2 linked regions of the Canis lupus familiaris genome follow. The protein of the gene in region 1 binds, or shares a complex with, the protein of each later gene. Links are inferred from orthologs where the notes say so. Each region holds a gene or a part of one and is shown in the gene's direction. Other genes may lie near its edges.

Evidence for each region.
Region 2: POLD1 (region 1) and DNA polymerase delta subunit 4 share a complex: the UniProt entries of both Homo sapiens proteins name them as parts of the tetrameric DNA polymerase delta complex. The link is inferred for Canis lupus familiaris from reciprocal best matches to the Homo sapiens genes POLD1 and POLD4.

The regions. Positions count from the first base shown.
Region 1 is NC_049222.1:106,967,294-106,970,214, reverse strand, and holds the end of POLD1 (DNA polymerase delta catalytic subunit), read left to right. Parts: intron 1-493; coding exon 494-626; intron 627-717; coding exon 718-831; intron 832-1,209; coding exon 1,210-1,262; intron 1,263-1,347; coding exon 1,348-1,445; intron 1,446-2,040; coding exon 2,041-2,146; 3' UTR 2,147-2,219; downstream 2,220-2,921. UniProt on the Homo sapiens protein: As the catalytic component of the trimeric (Pol-delta3 complex) and tetrameric DNA polymerase delta complexes (Pol-delta4 complex), plays a crucial role in high fidelity genome replication, including in lagging strand synthesis, and repair.
Region 2 is NC_049239.1:50,603,993-50,608,372, forward strand, and holds DNA polymerase delta subunit 4, read left to right. Parts: upstream 1-1,433; 5' UTR 1,434-1,652; coding exon 1,653-1,749; intron 1,750-1,968; coding exon 1,969-2,058; intron 2,059-2,274; coding exon 2,275-2,386; intron 2,387-2,760; coding exon 2,761-2,785; 3' UTR 2,786-3,812; downstream 3,813-4,380. UniProt on the Homo sapiens protein: As a component of the tetrameric DNA polymerase delta complex (Pol-delta4), plays a role in high fidelity genome replication and repair.

The DNA.
Region 1 (2,921 bases):
CCATACCTGTTTCTGTGTGTCTCTCTCCTTGGTCCTTGCTCTCTGACCCATCACTCTAGGATTCACATCCTCCCCCATTCCAACTGGAGGGTCCAGTGACCTTTGACCCCCCCACACACAGCCCCTTCCTCAGTTTCCAGTTCCTGTCCTGCCCCCCTCATCTTGGCTTCTAGCTTTCACCTCCAGTTACCATCTACCTTCACCCCCAACCCCGCTATGAACTCTGACCCTTGCTTGGGAACCTTTGGACTCCCACCCACAGACCCCAACCCAACATGGGTCACAGCTTATGGCCGGGGACCCCTCAGGATCTGTGCCACCATCCAGACCCATGCCCCAGCACGCAGGGCAGCACCCGTGCCCAGTGACTGCCCCACCCCACTACCCACATGCATGCCCGAGAGACCTACCATCCCCTGGCTCCCAGTGCCCTTTGGCCTGTGGCCTGCTGCTGACCCGAGGATGTGACCCCACCCGGATTCTCTGTTTGCAGGACCCCCTCTTTGTGCTGGAGCACAGCCTGCCCATCGACACACAGTACTATCTGGAGCAGCAGCTCGCCAAGCCACTCCTGCGCATCTTCGAGCCCATCTTGGGCGAGGGCCGTGCGGAGGCCGTGCTGCTGAGTACTGAGGGGGAATGCCCAGAAGGGGGCTGGGCAGAGTGGGACCCTGGGTCATGGAGGACACCCAGTCCACTGTCTGCCCTCACCTGCAGGGGGTGACCACACACGCTGCAAGACGGTGCTCACAGGCAAGGTGGGTGGCCTTCTGGCCTTTGCCAAACGCCACAGCTGCTGCATCGGCTGCCGGACTGTCCTCAATCACCAGGGTAAATGCTGGGCCCCAGACCCCAGACCCCAGGCCTCAGGACCCAGGCCTCAAGACCCAGGACCCAGGACCCCACCCTCCACCAGCTCCTCCATTGCTGAGATTCCCGGCACCCGCCCTACAAGCTGGCAGTGCCACCCGGATGGGCCCTGGCTCTTGGGTGGGGGCTCCCATTACAGGCACCCCCTTGAGGGTCCTGGGCCCCTCGCCCCGGGAGTTCCCCGGGGACTTTTCCCTACACACTTGCTCCCTTGTTCTCTTGTCTCCCGGGGACTTTCAGAGGCCGGGATGGGCAGCGGGTGGGGAAGGGGCAGGGATAGGGCAGCCTAGGCCCTGGCTGGGCCCCAGCTCCCCTGTGCCGACCCACCCCCTCTCCCAGGAGCCGTGTGCAAGTTCTGCCAGCCTCGGGAGTCAGAGCTGTATCAGAAGGAGGTGAGGGCGTCAGGGGGAGAGGAGGGGATGATGGGAGGAGGAGTTGACTGGGGCGGGGGCCCCCTTTGAGCCATCTCATCCCCAGGTATCCCACCTGAACGCCCTGGAGGAGCGCTTCTCACGCCTCTGGACCCAGTGCCAGCGCTGTCAGGGCAGCCTGCATGAGGATGTCATCTGCACCAGGTACACAGAGCAGGCCCGCCACCCTCGCTCTAGCCTGCCCAGGTCCCTCCAGGCTCCCAAGGCCTGTGGACCAGAGCCCTAACCCCAGGGTGCCAGGTGGCGCCCTGCCCCACATCACTGACTTTTCTCAGCGCCCTGGCCTGAGAGGCCTGTGAATCGAGCCAGGGCTCATCCCAGCCTTGGGGGCGGGGGGGTGCTCAGTGGGCAGGGCTCACTCTGCAGGCCAGCATCTGCCCAGGAAATGGCCACAGTTCTCTCTCTCCTCTTATACACACACACACACACACACACACACACACACACACACACAGCAGTCGGGCCCCCTCCCCCAGGGCAGGCCAGGCTTTCCCCAGGGAACAGGTGGGCGGGGCTGGTTCCCACGCCAGGTGACAGGTGATATACGGCTGGTGGCCCAGCGCTTCCGCGGGTACCCGCTGTTACGGCTCCCCCCATGCCCACTGAGCAAACAGCCTGCCACTGGAGGGGGGGCTGGGTGGGCAGCAGACGGGGACCAAAGTCCTGGGAACAGCCCTGGCCCCATCACTGGGCTGGGCAGCCGCCCCAGCCCTGACCCTGACCCCCACCCCACCTGCAGCCGGGACTGCCCCATCTTCTACATGCGCAAGAAGGTGCGGAAGGACCTGGAGGACCAGGAGCAGCTTCTGAGGCGCTTCGGCCCACCTGGCCCCGAGGCCTGGTGACCTCCGACCGGGTTTCCAGACGCCAGGAGGGCAGTGGTGGAGAATTAATAAAGTTCAGGCCTTTTGTTTCCTAGTGCTTTGTGGTCTCTGGTGGGCGAGGTCCACTGTCATGAACCTGGGTCTGGGTGGGTCATCTTCACTCAGCAGGGTCCCCTGACCCCCGGAAAACCCCCTGCTGACTTCCTCACCTCTCTTCCAAGACCCCTGGGCTCCAAGCACTGCTGCCAGCCCCAGGGAAGCCAGGCCTGCCTCAGTGTCCCCCTGTAACCCTCCCTCAAGCCCCTGGGTGAACATCTAACCACATATCCTGTGGTGCCTGGACTGCCCCACCCTTCGGGTGCTGACCTGTTTCCGCCGGGCCTGGGGCAGCCCCTCGCACGGAAGCTCCCACTCCCCGGCACAACCCAGGGGACCCCCCTCCCATGTTACACACCCACGATGTTTCCACCTCAGGGTCCTCATAGGCCCTGGGCCTGGGTTTTCCTCAGAGATGCCCGGCCCCCCCCCAGCCCAGTCCATGTCCACTCATGAGTGTCCCAGCAACCCCATCTGTGCTTGAGTCCCTTGATGGCATGTGCCCCCTGGTTCCTGGGCCTGGGTCCAGGGCCCCCCCACTATCATTACTGACCCCCACTTCACTGACTACAGGACTCTATGGCTTTTCTGCTTTCCTAGGGTCCCCCTCGAATCCAGTTCCTTTCCCATCTCCACGCCTCTGGGTCAGCCCCCTATTCCCACCCCAACTGTGGGGATCCCCAAATCCAGATGGCCCCTG
Region 2 (4,380 bases), on another chromosome or scaffold:
ACAGAAACTTCTGAGTGGACCCTTGTACTCCTGGAAGAACCAGATAGGATCTCTAAAGGGCAGTTAGAGCTGGGCTGGTCCCTGTGCTGATTCCCAGACTCCCACTGACCAGCACTTTTGCCTGCTGCCAGGAAGTTGGTGAGGGGGAGGCGGGTGCAGGGGTGACTCAGCGATGACAGGAGCCCAAGGGACAAAGGTCATGGGTGGAGAATTGAGAGACACTGTTTACAGCAGCCCGCCTCCTCCAGGAGGTCTTCCAGTGTTAAGCTAACGCTGTGGTCCAAGTCCTCTCTGACCCACCCTTCTCCCCTTTCCTGTTTCTTAGTAATTTTGTCCTTGCATTGACAACTTGTGTGTCCCATCTGCCTACCCTGTTAGCCTCTGAGCTCCTCTGTGGAGAGGGCACAGAGGGCCCGTGATTTAACTGGGGCCCCACAATGCCTGTGATGATCAGCACTTCCTACTTTCAAAAACCATTTTATGGGGCCCCTGGCTGTCTCGTCTGTGGAGCACCCAACTCTTGATCTCGGGTCATGAGCTCAAGCCCCACGTTGAGGGGTAAAGATTACTTAAAAAAAAAAAAAAGAACTTTTTTTTTTTTTTTTTTTTTTAAGGAACCATTCATTTTACATCTATTTTAGTTGAGTGAGTATGTGGGAAAGTGCTGAGAACAGTACTTGGCACACCGTAAGTGCCATGTAAGTGTTTAGTTTATGGTTGGTATTTTCTGCTCTTACTGTCACATTGGTGAGACAGGGCAGATTTTACTGATAAAAAAAAAAAAAAAAGTGGGGCTACAAGCACGCTGGCCTCCTGCTCAGTGTGGAATCTTCCTGACTAGCAGGGTGGGCATGGGCGCGTACTGACCCCAGGAGAGTCGACGAGGCCAACGCTTGCCTGGACTGAGAGTGGGCAGGGTCTTTGGGCACAGACTGTGAGAAAGGAGCTTTGGAACCCAAGGGCTTCTCCAGCCGGGTCTCCTGGGGCCGGTGGGGGTGGGGTGGGAGCTGGGAAGGAAGGGGCTGGATCAGCCCAACGCTCCGCGGACCTCCAGACCTGCCCCCACAAGGCTCTGCGGGACGGGGGGTGGGAGTGGAGGCTCCAGCTGGACTCTAGGGAGTTAGCGAGCGGCCACGGGGATTACTGAGGCTGAAAAGAACATTTGCCTAGGAAGGGAAAACGGGAAGTGAGAGGCCGAGGATAACGCTCTATTAGTCCCCCGAGGCCCGCTGCGGCCCGACGGGGGGGCAGCAGGAGGAGGCGCAGTCTGGGGCGTCCCGACAGGTCCCCCACCCAGCCTCACCCCTTCTCCCGGAGCACAGCTGCGGCCGGCGCCCCGCCCCCTCGGCCTCCGCCGCCTGCCATTGGCTGGCGTCGGGCCCCGCCCCGCAGAGGCGGCCAACCATTGGCTTGGGTCTCTGCTGTTTGTGCGCCTGCGGGGGCGGGGGCCGCGCGTCATTCCCTGGAACCGGCGAACTTCCTCTCGGCTTGTCTGGGTCGCCCTGTCTGCCGGCCGCTGGCCCCGGGCTCGCCCGCTGGCCCCAGCCCTCTCCTCTCCTCTCTCCCTCTCTCTCTCAGCAGCTGTCTCTCTCGTGCCCGCTGGCCTCTCCTTCCCGCAGCCGCCTCCTTCTCCGCCTGCTTGGGTGGCCGCCATGGGCCGGAAGCGGCTCATCACTGACTCCTACCCCGTAGTGAAGAGGGGGGAGGGCCCCGCTGGGCACAGCAAGGGGGAGCTGGCACCGGAGCTAGGTCTCTTCCGCGTGCGGGGGGCGGGAGCACTGGACACCAGCGAGGGGCTTGCGAGGACGCGGGCGGACGGGGGTGCTGCGAGGGGAAGTGAAACATGTCCTCTACTTCCTACTGCAGGCCTGGCAGTGGCCGGCAGAGGCAAAGGGCTGGTGAGGGCCGGGGAGCAGTGGGGCAGCTGCGAGGCCGGGGGCAGGCCTGAGGAGCCGCGTGTCATTGCAGGGGAAGAGCCCCAGCCCCTGAGCGTGGATGAAGCAGAGCTGGAGCTGCTGAGGCAGTTTGATCTCGCCTGGCAGTATGGGCCCTGCACAGGTGAGAACCCTCTCAGGCCCCAGGAACACATCCTGGAGACAGTCCTGTCACCTGCAGGTCCCTGAAGCAACCCACGCCCCTGCCTGACCCTCTCGGGCACTGTCTCCCGAGACTAGGGGGTGTGGAGGCCCTGACACACCCCTCCATACACATTCTCCAGCCTGAACTCCTCCCCACCCCCCATGAGGTGCCAGTGTCGTCTTCTCACCCCGGCAGGGATCACACGGTTGCAGCGCTGGCATCGGGCGGAGCAGATGGGCTTGGAGCCTCCCCCAGAAGTGCGTCAGGTGCTACAGACCCACCCTGGAGATCCCCGCTTCCAGTGCAGGTCAGAGACAGGCCAGGAGGGCTTTCAGGGGAGCCAGGGGTTTCATCAGGCACCACCAGCCTGCTGGCCCGCAGGGTGGGGACTGCCCTGACCTGAGGAAGAAATGAATGTGGGCTTTGGGGCTTTGCTGAACAGGCAAGAAGGTGATCTCCAAGGTGCTTGGCTCAGGAAAGCAGAACATTGCTTTAATAATCCTTATCTCTGAGCTAATGGTGGGGTAAGAGTGCACCCAGGACCCAAGGGACTATCTATTTAGTACAGAGGGGTTGGCCAGGGACAATAAGCCATGGCCAAGAATTGGGGCTGGTGAAATCAGATCAAGGACTTAATTGTCTCTCTCTGGTTTCTCTGCCCCCACCCCTTCCTTTGCACAGCCTCTGGCATCTCTATCCCCTGTGAGGTACCACTTAAGACTTCCTGCCCACTATCCCAGGACCTCAAGACACAAGTGAGAGCCAGTTGCTGCCCCCTTGGCTCAGTTCTGCCGTGAAGAACCTTTAGCAGGAAAAGAATCTTATAGAGAAAAGAGGCTGAATCTGGAGGTCTCTGAGGCTCAGCCCTCCATCTAACCAGCAGGCTCCTGGAGCTCCCTCTGAGAGCCAACACAGCTGAAGCTTATACTTCCTACATGGAAAGTTGTCTCTGAGGATAAAGACTTGGCCATGACCCTCGGATGCCTGCTACACACCTCTTCAACCATAAAAACTGTGGTCCTGGGAACAGTGTGGCAAATAAGCACAGCCTTGGACACAGCTAGACTCAGGCAGATGTCTAAGAGGCAAAGATGCACTCCCTACTCAAAGCTGGGAATCTAAGGGCAGAACTGGCAAGGGGTTCCTAATGCTTATCAATAAAGAACACTGAGTCTGGAAGCCTAACCTCCAGTCCCTTAATGTGGCCCTGAGTGGGCTGCCAGCAACCAGCAAGCCGAAGCTGACAGGTGGGAGAGAACCAGAACTATGCTTTCCCTTTGCTGCCCAGGCCTAGACCTTGGCCAGAAGAAAGACACCTTAAAAGACCATGGGACAAGTCCACATTAGAGCTGATCAGCCTCTGGCGCCCCCTGGTGGTGGACAGGGAAACAACTCTAGTCACCTTCGAAGACCAGCCAGAGAAAACGGACCTGACCGGCTACCTAGCCTGCCCAGTGTGGCCCACCTCACAAAAATGGGTCCTTTGTCAGAGGAGAATCCATAGGGTTCACACCTCATAAGGTCCAAACCTACACATTCCCGCCAAGCACCTCTGCTTCCCACACTGGGGCCACCTGGATCCAAAGCAGGGTTGAGGAGGTTCTCAACCTGCAGGTCCTGCTCAGAGATGGCCATCATCTGGTGGGCTTTGGTGGGGGAACTGGGTAGAGCAGAAACAATGTTTAGGGGCCCCTGGGATGGTATCATATGGAGAATGGAGTCCGTGTTCCTCACTCTGTGTTTATCTTTACTGGCTGTCCAGCTCTGCATCCTGGGCAGAGACAGCACTGCTATTAACTCCTTGGGGACAGGCCTATAGAGCAGCCAAGTGGCCTCTCTAGCCCCCACTGTACTCGCCACTACCCGTGCCTCAAGGATCTTAAATGAATCATCTCTAACGTTCCTAAAGGGCTGTTAAGGTAGATTTTATAGAGAAGGAGCCTGAAGCTCAGAAAAGCTGTGTGGGGTTGCTCGGCAGTACTGGCAGGCTGGTGGTGGTGCAGAGATGAGAGGCCATGTGCACCAGGCTCTTCATGTCTACAGCCATGCCCCTGCCCATCTGCTGGGTACTTGCTGTATGCCGGGCTCTAGAGGTCCTCCTGGGTGTTGTTAGTGGTGAGGAGACAAAAGAAGACATACAGGTAAATATTACCTGTATGTGGTAATCAGCCATGTGGTGGTCAGTGGTAGGCAAAATTAGGGATAGAGATCAAAGAATGCCGGGGCTGCTTGGAGAGGTTGATCAGGGAAGCTCTCTGACACGGTGGGATCTCAGCAGAGATCTGAATGAAATATAGGAAT